Medicago truncatula: one gene and its partners. The main gene of each other region encodes a partner of the protein of the gene in region 2 in a complex. Links are inferred from orthologs where the notes say so. Each region holds a gene or a part of one and is shown on either strand. Other genes may lie near its edges.

Region 1 (7,271 bases), on a different chromosome or scaffold from region 2:
ACTTGATCGCTATATGAGAATAATGAATTTTTTTTGGGTAAAAAAAGGATGCGATAATATACTTTAACTACATGAAAATATTAATTTTAATGTGTGATTTAACATTAGCACCCTAAAGACATAACTATCCCTGCAAAAAAATAAAGACATTGATCTCACTAGTAGTAAAAAAACTAAAATTCATGATATAATAACTATTAGATTATGTTTCCTTCAAGAAAAAAATTAGTAGATTATGTTTATTTGACTTTGTACTAAATTTTTTATTACTACCAGTTATTTTTTTAACAATATAATACTTTACAGTATCTATATGTTAATTAATTTATTAATTGGATTATAAACGCTCTTGAAATGCATCGAGTTCATATTTTAGTTGAAACAATCTTTTATAAGACTTTACTTATCTTAAAGTGAACTTTAAGTTATTAGAGCTAACTTCCTTGAGACTTTAAGGTATAAGAAAAAATAATTAATTATATCCTCCAGTTACGGTTATAAGCAAAACTCAATATTTTAGGTTCATTTATTTAATGATGTTTGTAATCTTGCAAGTACAAAATGTAAAATGCTTGTTTAAGTAATAATACAGTAACTAATGAGTACACTATACATAAGGAAATACAATTGATGACATAATAAGAGACAACTGTACATAGTCATCCAGCTTCTTCTACTTGCCTTTGCCACGATCAACCTGCTTATCTAAAATGAAATAAAGGGATTGGGGTGAGACATGATGTCTTAGTGAGTTCCACTTATCCTAGACTATAGGCAATCTTGGAAACCTATGATCGTCATTTATTTGTACATAAACATAATTTAGGGTTTGTTGTTCTATTTTGCACATCGTATCGATCTGGGGAAGTCTAGGATCATTGACAGTATACTATCATAATTCTTGTCATATCATATCATATTTCATGTTATCATTCTTTTTGGTTAGCACTGTGAGCGTGTAACACACAATTATTATCAGAGTTCATTTTACGGAATGCATCGGGTAGAGTAACCCCAACCACATTCCACTGTTGTCTGATGAAATTTCATATTGTATCAGGCTAACATCGGAACTCCTCTTATCGTCATGTAGGACTTGCATTGGAAAAATGTATGTCCACTACTGACGGGGAACCTCAACTCCAGTACTGACGCGAAGTGCGAATGCCATAACTTAACTGCTTATATAATTTCTTATAAACATAATTGTTGAAATTTGTCTTCAAATTTGTGTTTTGGGAGAATAGAGAAATCGTGACACGTCGTGTCACAATTTTCAGGCAGCGAGCATGGTTTTTCAGGGTGCTCAATCGTGTCACGTTTTTAGGAAAACGTGACACAATTTTCAACTTGCTGGGCACATTTTCAAGATAAGGTTGGCCGTACCTTGGGTCGTACGCACCAATCGTGTCACGATTTGGACAAACATGACACGATTTTGACAACTGAAGACTGCTATATAAGTGTTCTTGTGCAGATTTTGAAGAAGAGCTTTTAGAGAGAGAAACTTGGATTACAAAGGAGGTAACTTTAGGGTTGAGTGTCTTTGTAGTGAGGATCTCTTGGGTTGGGGAACATTGTAAACACCTTGGGTAGTGAGATTTCGCCATTGGAAGGATCAAAAAGCTTCCTTTTGTGTTTTCTCTTAAGATTCATTGAGAGTGAGGGTGACACAAAATGGGTAGAAATTAAGTCTTGTTCTTGTGTAAGCTTATAAGCTAATTTCTTGTAACTATTTTGTAACTCTTTCATCATAGTGGATTGGAGGGCTGCTCTCTCCCCCAAATTAGGTCATATTGGACCGAACTGAGCCAACAATCTTGGTGTGTTTGTTCCTTTCTTTCATTGCTTATCTTTATTACTTTGATTATGCTTGTGGTGTTGCTCTACACTTAGATTTAGGTCTGTTTTTGTTGTTGATGTTTGAAGACACTTTATCTATTGATTACCACTTCCTTTGATCCACACATCTTTGTTATTCATTTCCTCCTTTACTGATTTTGCTACAATGATCAGCCAAGTGACACAAAATTTTCACGAGATAGCTTATATATATGTAGGAGGAAATGACCCAAATGCCCTTCTTAAGAATTTTCCCCGATTACTAATTACTTATACATTATTTTTTTTTCTTGACATAAACTATTAATTTAATTATCAAACTACCATTCTGGTTTATAATCTCTATGAAAATACAATAAATATTCATAAATATACGAAATCCATCAATTAATTAGTAGCTAATATTAAAATTAGCAATCAAATTGATAGATTTTATGTAATTTAAAGATGAATTATTATATTTATAAATAAATTGAAGAGAGAGTGATAGTTTTTGAGACTAAATAATAGCCGACCAAAAAAACTAGTTAATTAATGGATTTTCTCTTAGAGAATAAAAACAATATAATAATTTACATATTTATTTTTTTATTTAATAAAATTAGTAAATTTATCCCCTCTCGTAAAGTATTTTTCATAATATGTCCTTGTGAGCTTAGCTCAGTTAGTATGAATAATGCATAATAATATATAAGGTCCGGGGTTCAAACCCCAGCTACCACAAAAAAAAAAAAGTATTTTTCTTAACATGCAACAAATCTAATGCCATCGTTGAACTTATTTTGTTGAGTAAATAACTCTAGGAGTATTTCATATTGGTCAGAGGGACTTATAATAGGAAACCAATTGAGTATTTTATATCGATTGTGCATCAATCAACAATAAAAGAGATGGGTTTCCTTAAAAAAAAAAAAAAAGAGATGGGGTTGGGTAGCTCAATAGTTTGATCTTGAACGATAAGAAGTTGGAGGTCTTGGTTCAAACTCGGGTAAAAGAGAAAAACTAATCTAATAACTAAGTATAGATCAATTGTTAAGGAATAAGAAGTTGGAGGTTTGAGTTCAAACCTGAACAAAGAAATAAATGTCAATCTAACAACTTGAATCACATAATTAAAAAAAGGTTTCATAACACATCTTTACATGGAAATCCGTTGAGGAAACAATAAATGTCGCATTTACAATTGTTTGAGTCACCTTCCACCACCGTATTCGTTCAATCTAGTTTTGCGTCCAAGAATTCCTATCAACCACCACTTGACCTCCTTCAATTCCATATTTGTCCCATTAATTTCGTAGCTAATTCTTGAGACAAATATGAAGAAGAAGGGGGATAAAGGAAAAATATTTTAAGATGAAATCAAGAATGATAAAATGAAGCTATGAGATTGAATTAATCAAATGAAATGATGAAAACAAAGAAAGAAGAATATTAACAGATATTGAAGCATAAGGAAATCAGAAACCCTATAGATGTTTGATTACTGTGTGTTGTTGAGGCAAAGACTCTGTTGGGATGGCCATGTGAGGGCAGTAGAGGGGTGGACGCGCAACACATAGAAGTTTCTCAAAAATTAGAAGGAACAAAGGAGAGTGGAGATAGGGGTGTCATGGAAATCAAAATGTTGCATATGGACAAAGAAATGTGCCTTGGTAAAAACAATTGGTTGCTTCGTACAAAGTATTATTTGGTAAACTTCGTGTATAAGTAATGTAGAGTTCATGAGAATTTATTATTGTCGAAATTATTGCTTTGAAGACGGAAATGACAATTCAAATTCAAACTTGTATATGCAAGGTTAGCAAGAATTGGGAGGAAAATGGCTAGTTAGAACCCGCAGTCCATTATTATATTCAGGGGCCGGGGTTCGAACCCCGGACACCCTACTTATTCATTCTATAAGGTAAATTCTGGCCACTAGATTACCTGACAAAAAAAACCGCATTTAATGTTGGCGTGAGCCTTATTACGTAAGCTCATGTGAGGGGGAGGGAAACCAAGCTTATGATCAGGATTATTCAAAAGCTTAACCTAATAAGCTTTTATAAAAAGAAGAAAGAAGACAATCTCAAATTTTCAATATTTTATCATATCGACTTTTTTTTCATATACACATATAAATTTTGTTTTTTATATAATTACCGCAGGGGTCTTCTACTAGTTTGTATTAAATAATCTATCATGATACATTTTTTTTTTTTTTATCATTGAATTTATTTTTAACCAAAAATGCAAAATGTGAGTTTTTATATTGCTATATAAATATTTCCATAAAAATAAATAATACCGCAATAAAATAAGAGTTTTATGATACCGAATTGACGATCTAAAACTAACTTTTCACACAAAATTAATCAAAAACATTTAAAATTGATTTATGAAATTATGAGGTAGTGAAATTTATTAAACTCCTTTCCCTCTTTGAACTCTATCTATCTTCTCTATCCACTCCCTTTCATTCACTCAGTCACTCTCCTCCCGCCACGCCATGCCCAAACGACCTCGCGGTTTCGGCAATTTCGTCAAGAAATTCTTCAGAAATCGCTTCAAGGAATTCAACAACGCTTATGGCGAAACAGTTAGCGATGTCTTTGCTTTCCCCTTCAAAGTTCTCTTCACTCCTTTGACCGTTGCAATTGATATTGCTGGTTCTGCTCCTCGTGGCTTTGGTGTTCCTGAGCTTGTTTCTAAGCTCTCTGCTGCTTCTGTTTTTGTTAGTTTTGCTTACCCTTTTGTATTTTAGCTTTAAAAATCGATTCTTTTTGTGTTTTGCTTATCTGGGTTATCGTCAACTAGTTCTATTTGTCAATTTTGTGTTTTTTAAGGTGAATTGTGTTGTTTTGTTGAGGTTATGTTTTTGGGTTTGTGGGGTTTTGTGGAAATTATTGATGTTTTTTTGTTTATTTATTTTTCCTTAGTTTCTGGGTTTTGGAGGAAATGAGATTTAATGTTGGGTGCTTTGTCGAAAATTGAAATGAATGTTATGTTGCTATGAAACTGTGACACCTACACGAGACATGGCACTAACACTTCAACGCCGATGATAGTTTGAAAAAAATGGAAATTTGAAGGTTGGTGCTACATAGGTAATTTCATCAAGGGTGCTACCATGTGCCCTTGCCATAAGGGCACATGTTAAGGTACTTGAATGTAGAAATTTTGCATTGAAAAGAGCAGCTTTTGGACATTTAAGAAATTGATTACACAACTGTAGTTTTTTTTTTTTTAAGGATAATGTATGTAGTTTCTTAACATTAAGGGCACATGTTAGTTTCATCAAATGAGATTATTATTTTTTTTTGAAAATTGCTGCTGATACATCCTTTATTGTACTCTTTGATGGACTTTATTTGAGTTCATCAATTAGTCAATGACTACCACAAAATGTATTGAGTAAATTTTTATCAAATAATAGATAGTGTATCAGAAAAAATGTTATAAAGTGTGTTGCTAGTGTTCTTCTTTTGATGTTTGCAGGAATTGCATTGTATGCAAGTATCACCATTGTTAGTTCTTTGTTTTGTTTTTATCTTTATTTGATAATGAATATTGCTGCATGGCTTGATTGTAGGCGGTTGCTACTTTGGGGACTTATGACATTGCATTAAACTTGGGAAGGAAGGTGATATGTCAAAGGTGCTGTTTTGTTTTGTATTTATTAATAGATAGATTGTTGTTTCCTCACTTGAGGACATGATGTGTATAATCTTTGGTTAGTGTAGTGTTGTTTGTTGCCTTTGGAATTATTGAAATCTAACTAAATGTGTTATCAAGAACAGGGACTGTGTGACATGTAATGGATGGCAGGCCATGCGGTGTACCATGTGTCGAGGAAGTGGAAGAGTCCACTATCAAGTGAAGAATTGCCACCTGAAGAGGTGAGTACTCTCCATGTGGAAAAAAGTCAGAGTTTACAGGCATTATTCCAATGTAGTTTGTGGTTTATTTAGTGTTATTGTTGAAGTTTTTAATAATGAATTAATGATCTCACAAACTTGTAAAACAGTTGATTCCAATCTCATAAATTGAGATTCTAGTTGTATTTTAATACTCTGCAATCTTTATCTTTTCGGTTCATTTTTGGTTACATGTCTAGATAGTTCAAGGAAACTTCTAAAGTAATAAACTTTGCACTATAAACGATTATAGTGACTCTTACTTAGATGGTCTTTTAGAAGGCCTCTTAAGAAAACGTACATCTGATTTAGAACAATTTGGGTATGTAAGATAGTGCAGTAAAGTGTTTTTCCGTAAATAACTCCCTCCATTTTGATTCCTTGTAGCATATTTTTTTAATCATAATTTCATAGGATTCTCTCTTCGAACTAATATATAAATACCTTATATTTTCTTCTTCAATTTATTTATTCACTTTTAGTGGAGAGAAAGCGACGGCCGAATCTGTTGCAGATGCCATTGTCAACAACCAGGCTGAGTTAGTGCACATACCATCATCCTCTTTCGATCCTCAGATACCATTACCATCAAAAGACTGTCCAATTTGCGATGGAACGGTATGAACTCAATACAATGGCTGTTAACATGATTGATCTAGTAATTTTGCACGCCAATGCTGTTGTGATTTGTGGTTGAAGAATTTTTCGATATTGCACAGGGTGTAATGGGATGTCCTGAATGTAAAAACAAATTACCATTTAAGATTTCAGCTGATGGTGTGAGTTAATTTCTTTAATTCCTTGAACCTATTTTTTCTTTCTTTCTAAATTGTTAATTTTTGCTGATTCATATTTTAAACTTAAATATCATTTGAAATTGTGATAATTCTTACCATTTTTACGTGCCCTTTCTTTGTTTAAGATTATGGAGCCCCATTGGCAAGCTCGTAATGTCTTGGAAAAGATGGATTATCCATATGAGGTCAGTCGTCATTCTAAATTCTCACCTAATTCTATCCGACCAATTGCTATTATTGTCAAAATTGATAAGATAATGTAGACCTCTCTCATATACTACGAAAACAAACCTTGATGCCATACATTTATAGTCATTTGTTAACCTCTCTGTACTATTACCATCGGAGTGAATGCTTCTCTTAGATTTACATTTTATGCAAACTACTAATTAGTATTTTTTTCATTTGAGATTCTCACTCTTATTTGACACCGTATTCTTAATCTTTTTTATGTTTTTAATATTTTCAGCACATAAGGGATAGCATGAAAGATCCCGATATTGCTGAATTTTGGTTGATTGCCTATCCACAGATTATGTATGGATTTACCTATGGCGACAATGCAAAGAAGACAATATTGTCAGAGTATGAGGTTGTTTGTTCATATTCCTTCTTATTTTTCAGTTTCAGTTCAACTATTCATGTATTGATTTGTCCCCTTATTGGTTTTGATATGCTTTTATTTTTCCTTTTGAATGTCCTCTTTGCTCGTTCAAATTATTCCTTTTGGACTTAT
Region 2 (7,042 bases):
ATCTAGGAAAGGTTTGGCCTTTTTTCGATGCAACTGCTATGCTCCTATATGTGCCATAGAAATATCATCTGTGCATCATATTGGGATTTATTAACTGATAAAATTCTGGGATAGAGATTAAAGAGGAAATAACCGATTCAATTCTCACATTTTTTTTGTGTATTAAATTATATACTAACATTTTTTAAAGCATTTTAAATGAAGCAATTTAGGGAGAATGAAAAAGGTGATATCATATGTAAAGATACAAATTAAAATGAACTGCTTTCCATTTTGTGCCTAAATAATAATTGGAAATCCTTAAGAAAGTTGTACTTCAAAGGAGAAAGAATAGGATTCAGACTATTGTCTTGAGGATTTTCTTGAATGAATGTTTTAATTTAAGAGGATTTTCTTGAGGGCACATGGATGCATGGCAAATTAAATATTTTAGATGCTGAAAAGTTAGATTCAAACCTTGCCAGTTTAAGTCCAATATTTCTGTACATCATGCTAGAAAACGATGCATGTGATCCCAGGATCACAATGTCCTTCACTTTTGATGCATTTAAGATGTCTACATGGGGCTTCGTGGTAAATTAGGTTCTGAGCATACATGACGGTTAAAAAACAGAGGTTGGTAGATCGGCTGAGATCACGCGGGGAAAGATATATTGCTCTCCATCTAAGATATGAGAAAGATATGCTATCTTTTACTGGTTGTGCTTATGGTCTGACAGATGCAGAATCTGAAGAGCTGAGAATTTTAAGGTGAGATCAGTTATTATATGTGTGCTGAATCATTCTACCATGTATTTGAAATATATATGCCCAGCAATTCCAATGATTATTTTTAAGAAAAGTTTGTTTCAATTCTTCTAGGGAGACTACAAATTATTGGAAAGTAAAAAAGATAAACTCAACAGAACAGAGAATTGGAGGATTTTGTCCATTGACTCCAAAGGAGGTTGGCATTTTTCTTCAAGCTCTTGGCTTTCCCCCATCAACACCAATATACATTGCTGCAGGGGAGATCTATGGTGGTAATACTCATCTATCAGAGCTCTCTTCCCGCTTCCCTAATCTAATCTCTAAGGTGCGCAAACTAATATGTTGTCGAACTGTGTTAACAAGTACTTCAAATAGCTCATAATCTTTGGGTGAGGCGCAGTGTTCGCCTGATTAAGTGATTGATAAATGTTAACAGGAATCTCTTGCAACTCCTGAAGAGCTAAAAGCTTTCACCAATCATGCATCTCAAAATGCTGCAGTCGATTACATAATCTCTGTAGAGAGTGATGTGTTTGTTCCATCTTATTCGGGAAATATGGCACGAGCTGTTGAGGGACACCGCAGGTTCTTAGATCACCGCAAAACAATCAACCCAGACAGGTACTGAATTCAAGAAATTATAATTGTAGAATTTTCTTGGGAATGTTGATACATGTGAGTTTTGAACTACCTATAGAGATATAGGCTTGTTTTCCTTCCGTTTATTTTGATTCTGTCTTTTCCAAAATGTAGTTATTTTTTTCCACCAGTGTTCTATAATCAAGTCAATAATCACGATTAAAAAAAGGATCAAACTTAGGTACAGTACCATAGATACCGTGCTTTGTTAATTGCACATACAAATATCACCAAAATTGTTTCCCTTAAAAATAGGAGAAGGTAGTTTAGGTAAAATTTCAGTGTATAACAGTACAAACAGCACTTATTGTACTGCATCTAAATTTTTTCCTTAAAAAAAGTCAATAATCGATCATCTAAGTTTTTCTCAAGCTTGTCTGAGCATCGTATTCAGCTTTTCTCAAGCTTTCATTGTCTACTTCAGTTATGATACAAGTTGATGGGATTCCCCATCTGTTCCCTTTCCAATTATATTGATTCCGCATAGTATATAAACCCTTATTTTTGTTCCATGAAATATATATATATGCTATGGAAGTTTAAATAATTTACCGTCTCATTATTTCACTTGCTTCTGTAGAGAAATACTTGAGTTTCTGATAGTTCAGAAACTGGACCACCCAGAGGCCTTGACAATTTTAATTCTTCAATATATCTCTTTAATCTTCTTATTCCTTTTATTTTCAGGAAAGGACTTGTTGGAATATTTGATAAGCTGGAAACTGGAGAGCTAGTAGAAGGAGCGGCACTGTCACATATGGTGCAGCGGATGCACAAGAACAGGTAAGTTTCTTGCTTAATGTTAAATCATGTTTTTGGGCTCAATAGATTCCCTCTCCTTTTTGTCCCTCATTTGTGACCATATTATGAATGATTTGATGATTAGACGTTAAAATCATTAATTTTTCTTTAACATAGAAGTTTTTTTTTTTTTTTTTGCCTTTGAATCTGTAATATATTTCCTTCTGTTTCATCTATCATTTCCCTTTCACCTCTTGTTGACTTCAGTTTGCAAATTATTCAAGTCAAAATAACTTCCATATTTTTCTTAATCGTATGTGCAGGCAAGGAGCTCCAAGGAAAAGACAAGGTTCATTACCGGGAGTTAAAGGCCGGGCACGTTTCAGGACTGAAGAGTCCTTTTATGAAAATCCATACCCAGAGTGTATATGTGGTTCGAGAAACAAACTAGAAAGAATGTGAAAAGAAACCATACAGCAGTTCCAGTTCCAGTTCCAATCTAAAGCTTTTGGAAGGTCTTGTTTATATGCGGAGATGTTTTAGATAGACTGTAATTGTAACTACCCATTTCCGACATGGGTGGTTCCTTGCGTGTGCCTTGAACCAATGTGGTCGCAGGGGTTTTGGAAACCCATAACAACAAACCCACAGTGATGGCAGCCTAACTCCTTAGCTGTACAACAGTTCACTTCAAGTAGCATTGAGCCATCGGCATTATATACTAATTCATAGATAGAATACCCCCGTCCCATGTGCTTCCGAAATGAACTCTAGTCTACAGGTGAAGCCATTGCGGAAGGCAAGATGTTATTACATTGTAAAGTTTAATAGCTTCCCATCTTTGGTTATTATGTTTGACAAGCTAGTCTCGTCTATCATCTTATAGTTAATTTTTTTGGTAGATGACCTTATCCCTGTTAGTTTATAATTTGCTTATATCAACTTATAGCATTTTTTAGATGCGACTTGAACTAGTATGTGATCTTATAGCTTATTAATTCTAATTAATTTTTTTTTTTATCTCTATTGTATATTAAGTTAATCATTTATCATCTTTAAATAAAACAAAAAATGTATCTATATTTATTTGTCATTTTATACTTATTTACTAAAGATGGTGTATCACTTTATGTGGGTTTTATTCTCAAATTTAGATGGACCTACGTGGATTTTATCATATATAAGAGTGTGTTGGAAATAAAATATTAGGGCGAGTGCTGTAAATCATCCCTATCATCCATACTACGATTTAAAATTGCCATTTTGTTTATAGTATTAATTAATTTTTACGATTATTAAATCTTTTCTCATTCTTTCTGTGTGATGTAGTAATTCTCTCACTTGGAGTAATAAATGAAGTAAAAACCCAGTAAAATTTGATGTTTTCTCCGGTCTTATTTATAAAATGGGTTTCAGAGTCAATTTTTTCTTATAAATACGATCGGATGGAGTAATTTTATTATGAGATAATTAATGAATATATCAAGTGTCGAAACTCATTCACCACAAAATTTAGACGTGGTTAACCATGATTTTCAAATACTCAATTACACGTAGATTTAAAATTTGTATTCAAGTTTGTGGTTAATGAAGTTGCATTGTTACACTACTTTTATTTTTAGTCAAGTAGCTTATAACTAAAAATTTATAAGAAGGGGGGTATCTAGGTTTAAACATAGACAAATTTAAAACCTACTTTATCAACTATCTAAAAAAAAATTAACCTTTAACTCTAAAAAAAAATTAACTATTTATTTAAACTGTGTTAACTATTTAAAAAGTTATCGTGAAAATCGTCTAAAATTAATTTTCCAAAATCATTTCTCAATTGATTCGAAAAATTATTAAATTGTTTTACACAGATAAAATAAAAGAAGAGAAGATAAACAATGATATTCCCATAAACCCAGACAAGAACCCCAAAATGCAGAAAACAGACAGATAGTAATCAAAGTAAGAGTGTGTTTTGGATATGATGCCAATGACTATCTGAAACTCTTCCTCCCTTCATTTCGCCATTGCTTCTAAACATGAATCCTCAAATTTCAAACAGAATCGAATTACTTCAACTCCCAAAACCCTTATTCCCTCGCAAAACCTTCTTCTTCACCCAATTCCCTCATTCTTGTTTTTCTCAACGCCTTCTTAGAACCAAATTCCCATACAAAAACCCTCGCAACTGCAAACTCAGAATCACCGCTTCCAATGTTTCAAATACATCTTCCTCCAACGATGAAGATGCTCAATCTCTTCAGCTTTTCGAGGTTAGCTTTTAATTGAAAAAAAAAAAATGAAATTCTAGTTGTATAAGGTGAAAATTCATGTTCAAGTTGTGAATTTACGAGAAAAATTGTGTGTGCAGAATCGGGTGAATGAGATGGAAGAACTTCAGAGGAAGGCTAATGTGCAGTTAGATAGGCAACTTATATTGGCTTCTTCATGGAATAGAGCTTTGTTGACTTTTCGTGGGAAATTAAAAGGAACTGAATTGGATCCTGAAAATTCACATAGGATTGATTTCAGTGATTTTTTGAAATTGCTCGACTCCAATGCTGTCAAGTCTATTGAGTACTCTGATTATGGACAGACCTTATCAGGTGCCACACTTATTTATTTGAGTTTATTTACTGGCATAAGCTCTTGTGAGACTGTTTGGTACAGCTTGCGTAAATAGCTTGTGAGATGTCCATAAGCTGTTTTCGTTTTATTTTCATATAAGCTCTCCATGATAGCTTATGAAAACAACTTATAGCTTATATGAGAACAGTTTGACTTAGGGTTTGTTTGAATTGACTTATTTGAGTTTATCTACTGGTTATAAGCACTTGTGAGATTGTCTGAGAATGCTTATAGAAACAACTTATGATACGTCCATAAGTTGTTTTCTGATTATTTCCATAAGTTCTCCAGGATAGCTTATGAGAACATCTTATATCTTATGTGGAAATCATTTGAATTTTGTTATAGAAGTAACTTAAACACAAGCACTTATATGATAAGTGCTTAATGAAGCAGGTTATCCAGACAGGACATTAATTTTATCTTTAATTATAGCAATAGCTCGTATATAAGTACTTATATGTTTATCAAAACAAACTTCTGAAGGATGTGCTATTGGGATTTTTTTAGCTATTTCACATTATCTTATCATGCTTAGAAATGCTCCTTCTAATGAACAATGCATATGTTGCTGTACCAGTCTGGTTGGAATGTGTATTGCTGAATGCTGTCTTTTTTTTTTTGTGTGTGTGTGTGTGTGTCTGCAGTTATTTTACCATATTACAAGAACGTAAAAACATCAGGCACTGAAGAAAATCCCAAGGATATTGTTTTTCGGCGTCATGCGGTTGATCGAATGCCGATTGATTGTTGGAATGATGTTTGGGGGAAGCTGCATCAACAAAATGTAAATGTTGATGTCATTAATGTAGATGCTGTACCTGCTGAAGTATACTCAACGGTTGCAACTGCAGTTGTATGGTCTATGCGTCTTGCCCTGGCTGTTGGATTTTTTATGTGGATTGATAATTTGATGAGACCAATATATGCAAAGTTGATACCTTGTGATTTGGGAACTCCTCCGCCTACCCCACAAACTAAGGTGCCAGCCTTAAGAAGACACGCACTTGGTTCTCTAGGCAAAAGTCGGTCAGTGCAATACTTTTTCTCTATTTCCTATCCCACTTCCCCTTGGTTGACTGAAATTTCATTTTTGTGTAGTGTTAGTTTTAGTTGCTTGAGATATGTCATTCTGCTTGTAATTAAGATTTACTAGAAAGTTTATCTCTTTCTTTGGTCTTAATTGCTGATGCTGGTTTTTCGTTAGAAATTTAGAACCATTTTGCGGGCAAGGAAAATATGACCTACTTGCATTTTCCCCTTTCTTCCACTTGAAACTGATGAGCGGCAATCATTAATGTACCTTTCAAAAGCTTTCATTGGAAATTCCTGTTTCATGATCAATAGGCTTTTAGGAACTTCCGATGTACATTCAATTGAAGTTGTTCAACTTCAGAACCTAGCTATGATGTTTGTTTGAGATTCGTTGTTTGATCTTGAAGCAAGCATATCTAATCTCTTATTCATTTAGGAATGACATAATGCAAAACACACTTTCTGTACAAGAAAAGAACCCACAGAGCTTTGGGATTGATCGAGAGAGATTACAGTTGTATATCTAGTGTACCATATCATATATCATATCAAGAATAAAAGGAAATAAGGAAAATAGGGAAAGAATAAAATACAATCAGTACTTTTTTAAAAGAGGTGCAACATATAATTCAGTTGCTGTCAGGAAAATTATCTCAAAAACTCAAACTTTCTATTCGTTCATAAAATCATGTTTGAATTCAGATTAGTCTGCACAATGTTACTAGTTACTGTTTAAATCCTAAGTTCTTAGTTACTTTGCAAGTCCTTACACTGTAAGCTTGTGGGCTGCATTGGTTCTACTGCACTTCATAAATCAACTGTTAAAAAAAAATCATTTAGAGGATTGAATTTGTCCTGTACATTTTTTTTTTGAAGTAACTTGATGTGTAAACTTAAAGGAAAATGGGCAATACACCGTTCCTTTCAAACTTGGATTTTCCATTTTTGTTTTACAATGGTTGATGTATGAAACTCTATGCTGATTTTGGCTTGTCTTGGGTCTTTATCATCCTTCTCCATTGTGATATTTTGAGGTATTTCAGGGGGTATATTAGTGTGTGTGTGTGTGTGTGTGTGTGTATATAAGCCTTCATGCAGGGACTGGAAAGGGGCACGAAAAATAAATGTGATTGAATTTCATAAATAGTTAACAAGCTTTTCCTTTTAACCTGTTGAGTTACTATGCTGTATTTATTTTAATTTGAAAATTCAACCCATCGTAAATTTTATGAAACCCATATACTCACTGAGGACAAAG
Region 3 (6,948 bases), on a different chromosome or scaffold from region 2:
GCTCACACAATTTAATTGTGGAGAAGTGAAGTGTCCGGGGTTCGAATCCCTGCCCCTGCATATAAAATGCGATATCCCTACCAATTGAGCTAAGGTCACGGGGATAGAGTTTTTCTTCTTTACTCATAGTAATATATAACAAAGTTAGAATGTTGACTTGAAAGTCATATTTTAATTCTATTGTAAATTTTAAAAAGAAGCAGCTATAATTAAAATCAATTCATTTTTATTCTAACAATTACAATTGATTTACATTATACATTTATTTTGTACTGACAACTTACATGAATAAAAATCTAGACAAAATTACTCGTTATGACACATGTCGCCTCTAAATTACTTGATTTTCTACCCAATAAACAATTCCATGTCTTGGTTCCTAAAAGGGATATATGGGTGAATCAAAATTGATTGGTAATAATAATAATTGAAAATTGGATTTTCTTCCCTATAAACTTTTCGATGCCTTGGTTCCTAGACATAATATATGGGTGAATTAAAGTAGATAGATAATATAAATTAAAAATTAAAAAATAAAACTTAAAAAGTTCAACTAATTTTTCCATACACATAGACACAAACATTTTGTTGGCACAGTTTGTAGAGGACAACATTTAGGGTTATAAACCATGACTTCCTCTCTTAGTAAATTCTACACCATATTCATCTTGATCTTGCTTTGTCTTGTATTTCTCCTTATTTTCACATGGGGTAAAAATCAACTAATAAACCTATATTTATTTGCACGTGCTTCTTTAATTCTATGCCTTGTTTAAGTTTTTATTTTTTAGTTTTTTAATTTCTTTTATTATTATTTTTTAATTTTATGTGTAGAGGTGGAAGCAAAACTTTGTGGTAAGCCAAATAGAACATTGTCAAGCCCATGTATTGACTCAGTGTGCTATGCAAAGTGCATCGACTCGGACTTGGATGCAGTATCTGGTTCTTGTGAAGGCTTTTTTACTTCTGAATGCTTTTGTTACTACGAATGTTGAGAAATGAGTTTTCCTTCGAGCAATTTCTGCCTTTGACATTTTTGTCAAATTTAAAATACTCTCTATAGTCTCACATATACATAAGTACTAGCATAAATGACCCGTGACAAGAGCATGTTAGTTTTTTATATAAAAATGTAGATCATTTTGGACTATCATGTGAAATTCTATTTATATTATGTAAAATTTAAAATGTAATGAATAAACCGTTGGAACATATTTTGAACACTTACATTATCCCTTCCAACAATATATACTTGTTGCTACGAAGACTTTTGCAGCTAAATTTGTAGCAACTCTCTAGCAAACTACCTTAGCTAGAAGTTTGCTACAGAATACCTATTGAATTGGCAGTAGCATTAATTGAGTGACAAATTTTCTAGGGAAATTGTTCTTGGTAAATCCATAGTAAATAGAAAAAAAATCCTAACAGATATTTAGCTATTAGATTGTGTTCTTGTATCTACTAAAGTCATGAACGTATCATGCAATTACTTGTTTCCTGGTAACCTTACCAATGATGATAGCAAGTTCATGCATTACTTTCTCAAAGAATAATTAAACATACACTGTGGAGTAACAACTTTTGATGGGTAGAGAATAGTCAAACATCAAATGGCTCGTCATACCTCTATGACTTGTGACTTCTACCAACTTAATTGCAACTTATAAGATACATACTAATTTTCTCCAGAAAATAGCTTATAATCTAGACTGGTTTCTGGATTATAAGATACATACTAATTCTTTGTTCATATATCGTTTCTTCAGAGTTTGTTTTATATAGACTTGCAGCAATAGTAACTACAAAATAAATATTGGAGATTTGCTCCTATTTGCATATTATGATATGACTATATTAAATCCATACAATAATTACAAATTTCAACACATATATTTACAATCATCTCATTACAATTGATATTAGAAGTGGCAAGTGCTTAGTTTCTTATATTTCTCCTAGCTGCTCTACTCTTTTCACTATCTGTGAAATAAACATGTGTCCCTTGCCAACAGAAAAGAACACTAAATTAATACATAAATTGAAAATTTTGGGCATAAGAATATATTGGTGGATACATAGCAAAGAAGCTATGAAGCTCGGATAAGGATACAAGTGCGATTACGATACGATACGGGTACACGGATATATGAACTTTTTTAAATGTAGGATACAATACGGCACATTAATAAAAAATTTATACTAGAACTTAAATGTATGTAAAATACTTGAATGAAGTAAACATTGATTATTCTTTATTATTATATTAATATAAAAGTCAAAATTTTACAAAAATAATACATGTGATCAAAATAAAAAAATGTAAAGTTTTCTTATAAACCATATTATATTTTCATATGTTCAGATATCGAGTGAAGCATAATTAAAAGAACTCAACACAAATTTTATTTAATATTGATTAACTGAATCACATCTCTCTCGTTATCTTCATCCCACAAAAAATATAATTTTAAGTGGTTCATCGAGAAACAATTCTACTGATGCATATCTAAAATTGAATCATATACATCTCAATTCAATTTTTACAACATTGTCTCAATTTTTTACTCCTCATATTTTCTAGGATAAGTATATGTAAAGTATCTTATAAGTATCATTGTGTATATGTGGAGTATCATATAAGTATCCGACAAAATATTTTTTAAAAAATTTAAATAATTAATTCCGATACTTTGTGCTTACGTATCCACGAGTATAATATTGATATCCGATACGAATACGTCTCTATTTTAAAGTATCTGAGCTTCATAGCTAAGAAGTATCATAATTATTCTTTTTACTTTATAAAAAATATTTCAACAAATACCTATGAAATACTACTTCACGAATATAACCAAATACACATCTTGTGAAAGATAAGGGCATAAGGTGAGACAAGGTTGGTGAAGTTGTTTCTCGATGACCAACATTAAAAAATAAAAAATTTATATTTAATTTATGTTCAGTTAAAAAATTAGAATTATTTTTGGGACATATTCTTATAATATTTTAAACATTCCTAAAGATTTTCATTAAAAAAATAAGAAATGAAATTGAAATTTTTTAAGAGATTAAAAGTGAAAGAAATTTTGTAGAGGAATTAAAAAACATATTTAACCCAAAAATATAAATGATACACATGAATTGATTTAAATTTAGGAACCAAAATTGTAGATAATTTTCATTTAACATTTTAAAATAGGTTTAATAGCAGTATTGGCCTCTTAATTATCAAAAAGTTGAGATTTTGACCTCCTAACAAAATAAAATACAATCCAGCCCCTTAAGTATTTCCCTTTTGTAGTTTTGGCCTCCAATGCCAATTTTGACCAAGTCAATGCTGATGTAGACCCCACTTGTGTAACTTTTTTATTTTTATATTAAAAAAATAAAAAAATTATTTTTTAATTAAATTTTTTTTTGTACATTGACTTGGTCAAAATTGGTCTGGGGTGCCAAAACTGCAAAAAGGTCGGTATTTAGGGGGTTGGATAATTGGATTTTATTTTGTTAAGATGCCAAAATCGCAACCTTGTGATACTTAGAGTGTCAAAACTGCTATTAAACCTTTAAAATATTATCAATTTAATTATTTTTTATAGGCAAAATTACACATTTAGTCCCTTAACTTAATTTCAGATAACAGTATGGTCCTTTATCTTTTTTTCATTTCAATTTGGTCCTTTTTGTCTATTTTCATGAGTTTTTAAACTTAAAATTCATGATTTTATTTTCTTATGGTCCTTCAGTCTTTAAATCTATGATCTTCGTCTATGTTTGTATAAGAATTTAGATTTGAAACTTGAAAATGTATATGAAAATGGACAAAAAGACCAAATTAAAAAAAAAAAAAGGTAAAAGACCAAACTGTTATCTGAAATTAAGTTAAATGATTAAAAATGTAATTTTGCATTTTTTATATGATTAGATAAATAAATGAAACAAAGGATGATGGATAAACCCCTTCATCCTCAACGTAACATAAACCCCAAAATTCCAAAATCATCTTTACTACAGAAATGAAACCAAGAACCTCCTGCTCCATGTAGAAAAATCCATCAATGGCTCTCAAATTTCCAAACCCTTCAAACCCATTTCTTCTTTCATCATCACCACTAACCCCATCTCTTCAAAATCCTAACTTTTTCACTCTACACTTCAGTAACCATCGCAGAAAGCTCAAGCTTCGAGCTTCATCTACAGCAGACCCAAATGGAGCTGATGGGTCATCTTGGTCAGAGTCATTGGACCGCGCTTCGAGGCGGTTTTTGGTGAAATTTGGAGATATGGTGAAGAAAGAGACGGGTGTTGATTTGGGAGATGGGGTTGGGAAGGTTGGTGAGTTTGTGGATGGTGTGAGGAAGGTTGGAAGTGAGTTGAGAATTCCGAGTTTGGATGAGTTTGTTGATTGGAACCGGTTCGAGAATTGGAAGGTAATGAGATTTTTACTTTTGTTGTTAGTTTTATTCATAGGTGATACGAGATAGAATTTAGGCCGTGCTTGGATAAGCAACTTATTTGCAGCTTATAGCACAAATGCGTATGTATAAGCTAGTTATATAACAAAAGATAAATGAAAGTTAAATTGTTATTGTATATGCTGTAAACTGTTTCAATAAGCTATCTTCGAGAACTTATGAGAATAAGATGAAAACAGCTTATGACCAGACATTGGTCATAAGCTGTTTTCGTAAGTTCTCACAAAACTCATGCCGTTAGGTAAACTCAAATAAGTCAATCCAAACAGACCATTTAGTGTTTGGTTTGTTAAGATTGTTTCGTTTTCATTGGGATGATGTTTGAGTTTTGGTATAATTGTTACTTGTTAGGGACTGTTAATTTACCGATAGTTACAAATTTTATTTTCAGTATCTGTTGTATTGAACATGAAAATGTGAATAGGAAATAAGGTGACATTTTTGTAATTATAAGTGAAACTAGAAAAATGATAGTTATAGTTCCGTAAGTACAACTTAAATAGTAAAAGGGTGCAGGGACACTTGACATTCGGGGGTGCAGGTTCGAACCCGCAGTTCTCCACTTCTAGTGTTTGACAACATCGCTTTACATACTTGACAGGATATGATATGATAGGATAGCATTGCATTTGTTTGATGAGTGGGAGTAGATTATTTGAGCTTATCTATAGACATAAGCACTCAAGAGACTGTTTAAGAGAGCTTATGGAAGAAACTTATGATATATTTATAGGCTGTTTTCGACTTATTTCAACAAGTTCTCTAGGATAGCTTATGAAAACAGCTTACAGCTTATATAAATTATTTTTGATTTGATTTTATCTTTTGTTATAGAGGTAGCTTATACATAAGCTCTTGTATGATTCACGCTTCTGATCTAAACACTTAATTAAACTGTTTATTTAAACAGGGACATAATATCTCTCATTTTCTTTACATACCTGATAGGATTGATAGGACAGGATAGCATTGCATTTGTTTAATGAATGGGATCGACTTTGTTGGCATTTATGTATTTTCTATCCTAGAACCATTTGTGTCCTGATAAATTTGTTTTGACCGAAAGAGATGCTATATAAACTGTTGGATCAGCATGGCAGAAGTGGATTACTTGCTTTATTCGTATAATTGGCTCCAGTTACTTTTGTTATTATCTATTTCTTTTTAAATATGAACTAAAACAATGTAGTTTATTCTTATACCAGAATGTCAAGAACTGGGAACCTAGGCGAATCGGTGCTTTAGTTCTGTATATATTTGTTGTAGCATTTGCTTGTCGAGGAGTATTTGTAGCAATTCAAGCACCTTTCCTAAACCACCAGAGGAAAGAGTCGACTGAAGCCTACATGGAAGTGTTAATTCCCGCGCCAACCCCGACTAACATCAGAAAGTAAGTCAAGCCTCGTTTATTCATTATGTTTGGCATTCATATGTTATATACACTTTTGACATATCAAATTGTTGGTTATAATTCTCTTAGAAATTAAGTTGTTCATTTATCGAACTTTTTCTTCTTCTTTCGGAATGTATAATATTCATTCACTACTTAAATCCTACTCAATAGAGTTCTAGTTACTAAAACAAGACAATAGTAGAGAGTGTTCAAAAGAGAATGTGGGTAGCTCGTCTCTTTGAACTACATGCTGTCTTGTTGATTTGACCAAGACATGCTTGATGTTGAGTGTTCCATTTTCTTGGCCTTGACATTTCATGAATGATGATGTATTTACACCCTTGGTTTCAAATTGAGGACTGTGCTATTTAATGCAGCCATAATAGTAGTCGAGGAGTTATAACCAGCTTGTCTAGAGTTCAAACACTGGAAACTAACATAACCACTAATTTACTTATAATAACATTTTCCTGTAAAAAAATAGTAGTTGAGGCATGGCATTTGGCATCATGTCGAATTGTGGGGGGTTTCAAATATCCTCAAAAAAATCATCCACTATGTATTTGCGGCGACTGCACCAGCTTATAGAAATAATGCTGTATTTTTTATTTCAAAAATAAAATTTCATGGCCAGAAGCTTGAAAAATTTCGAAGCTGTTTTGACAGTAACTGGCATTGTATTTGCTCCCTGCAGCAGTTACAATTACAGTGACCAAAAATCTAGTATGTAACCTCAACTGTAATTTAATTTAAAGCTATGACCACAACTTCTCCATGAACTAAACAATACTACAACATTAATGATGCTAGTACTTATAAATCATTATCTGTGAATTTTCTTGCGTATAATTTTGACATTGCCCTTAAAACCCCCAAAAGCTTCTCGCCACTGTTCAAACAATTGCTGACCTATCTGAATACTAAATTGAAATCAATTTCATGTACTGAATCATTTAATGTGTTGTATGCATTTAACCAAGGTTTTCATCATTTAATTGTAGATTCAAGAAGGTCGTGTGGAGGAAGACAATGCCAAAAGGCCTGAAAATTAAAAAGTTTATTGAAAGACCTGATGGAACA

The links.
Region 1: the proteins of probable inactive ATP-dependent zinc metalloprotease FTSHI 4, chloroplastic (region 2) and uncharacterized protein are in contact, whole or in part, in a cryo-EM structure (PDB 8XKV), measured with the Arabidopsis thaliana proteins. The link is inferred for Medicago truncatula from reciprocal best matches to the Arabidopsis thaliana genes EMB3144 and emb2737. Residues at the interface, in NP_201263.2 of Arabidopsis thaliana: Asn149, Phe150, Ser151, Met154, Tyr170, Gly171, Gln172, Arg206, Met207, Pro208, Ile209, Asp210, Gly211, Asn213, Asp214, Asp232, Val233, Val234, Glu237, Thr240, Thr241, Thr244, Phe245, Trp248, Leu252, Phe255, Val256, Tyr259, Asp263, Thr266; in NP_001032071.1 of Arabidopsis thaliana: Pro63, Glu64, Ser67, Ser70, Tyr71, Ser73, Val74, Val77, Ala78, Leu80, Gly81, Asp84, Ile85, Asp88, Lys92, Cys102, Asn103, Trp105, Gln106, Ala107, Leu108, Arg109, Lys114, Gly115, Thr116, Gly117, Gly173, Thr174, Gly175, Ala176.
Region 3: the proteins of probable inactive ATP-dependent zinc metalloprotease FTSHI 4, chloroplastic (region 2) and ATP-dependent zinc metalloprotease FTSH 12, chloroplastic are in contact, whole or in part, in a cryo-EM structure (PDB 8XKU), measured with the Arabidopsis thaliana proteins. The link is inferred for Medicago truncatula from reciprocal best matches to the Arabidopsis thaliana genes EMB3144 and FTSH12. Residues at the interface, in NP_201263.2 of Arabidopsis thaliana: Lys91, Leu92, Arg93, Glu94, Glu96, Arg97, Leu100, Met103, Glu104, Val112, Glu115, Arg116, Val119, Met120, Asp123, Arg126, Tyr167, Tyr170, Asn213, Trp216, Lys217, His220, Val224, Asn225, Val226, Glu227, Val228, Asn230, Val231, Val234; in NP_565212.1 of Arabidopsis thaliana: Leu255, Ile258, Ile259, Asn262, Arg264, Ile265, Gln266, Lys270, Leu273, Leu277, Val279, Lys359, Leu360, Pro361, Tyr362, Thr363, Tyr364, Leu366, Lys368, Glu373, Asp382, Lys384, Arg385, Met390, Glu392, Tyr398, Asp401, Ile402, Pro403, Leu404.

What each region holds. Positions count from the first base shown.
Region 1 is NC_053043.1:39,212,589-39,219,859, reverse strand, and holds the start of uncharacterized protein, read left to right. Parts: upstream 1-4,263; 5' UTR 4,264-4,330; coding exon 4,331-4,555; intron 4,556-5,413; coding exon 5,414-5,478; intron 5,479-5,621; coding exon 5,622-5,720; intron 5,721-6,220; coding exon 6,221-6,356; intron 6,357-6,457; coding exon 6,458-6,517; intron 6,518-6,660; coding exon 6,661-6,720; intron 6,721-7,004; coding exon 7,005-7,127; intron 7,128-7,271.
Region 2 is NC_053044.1:47,335,669-47,342,710, reverse strand, and holds the start of probable inactive ATP-dependent zinc metalloprotease FTSHI 4, chloroplastic, read left to right. Parts: upstream 1-4,021; 5' UTR 4,022-4,160; coding exon 4,161-4,394; intron 4,395-4,492; coding exon 4,493-4,727; intron 4,728-5,396; coding exon 5,397-5,778; intron 5,779-7,042. Other genes in the region: O-fucosyltransferase 38, read left to right, coding at 1-11, 614-750, 862-1,075, 1,187-1,371, 2,077-2,172, 2,454-2,592. UniProt on the Arabidopsis thaliana protein: Functions in chloroplast biogenesis and chloroplast division. Required for plastid development during embryogenesis. Might be involved in chaperone functions or play a structural role in the thylakoid FtsH complex.
Region 3 is NC_053049.1:19,170,009-19,176,956, forward strand, and holds the start of ATP-dependent zinc metalloprotease FTSH 12, chloroplastic, read left to right. Parts: upstream 1-3,940; 5' UTR 3,941-4,058; coding exon 4,059-4,430; intron 4,431-5,680; coding exon 5,681-5,865; intron 5,866-6,869; coding exon 6,870-6,948. UniProt on the Arabidopsis thaliana protein: Probable ATP-dependent zinc metallopeptidase.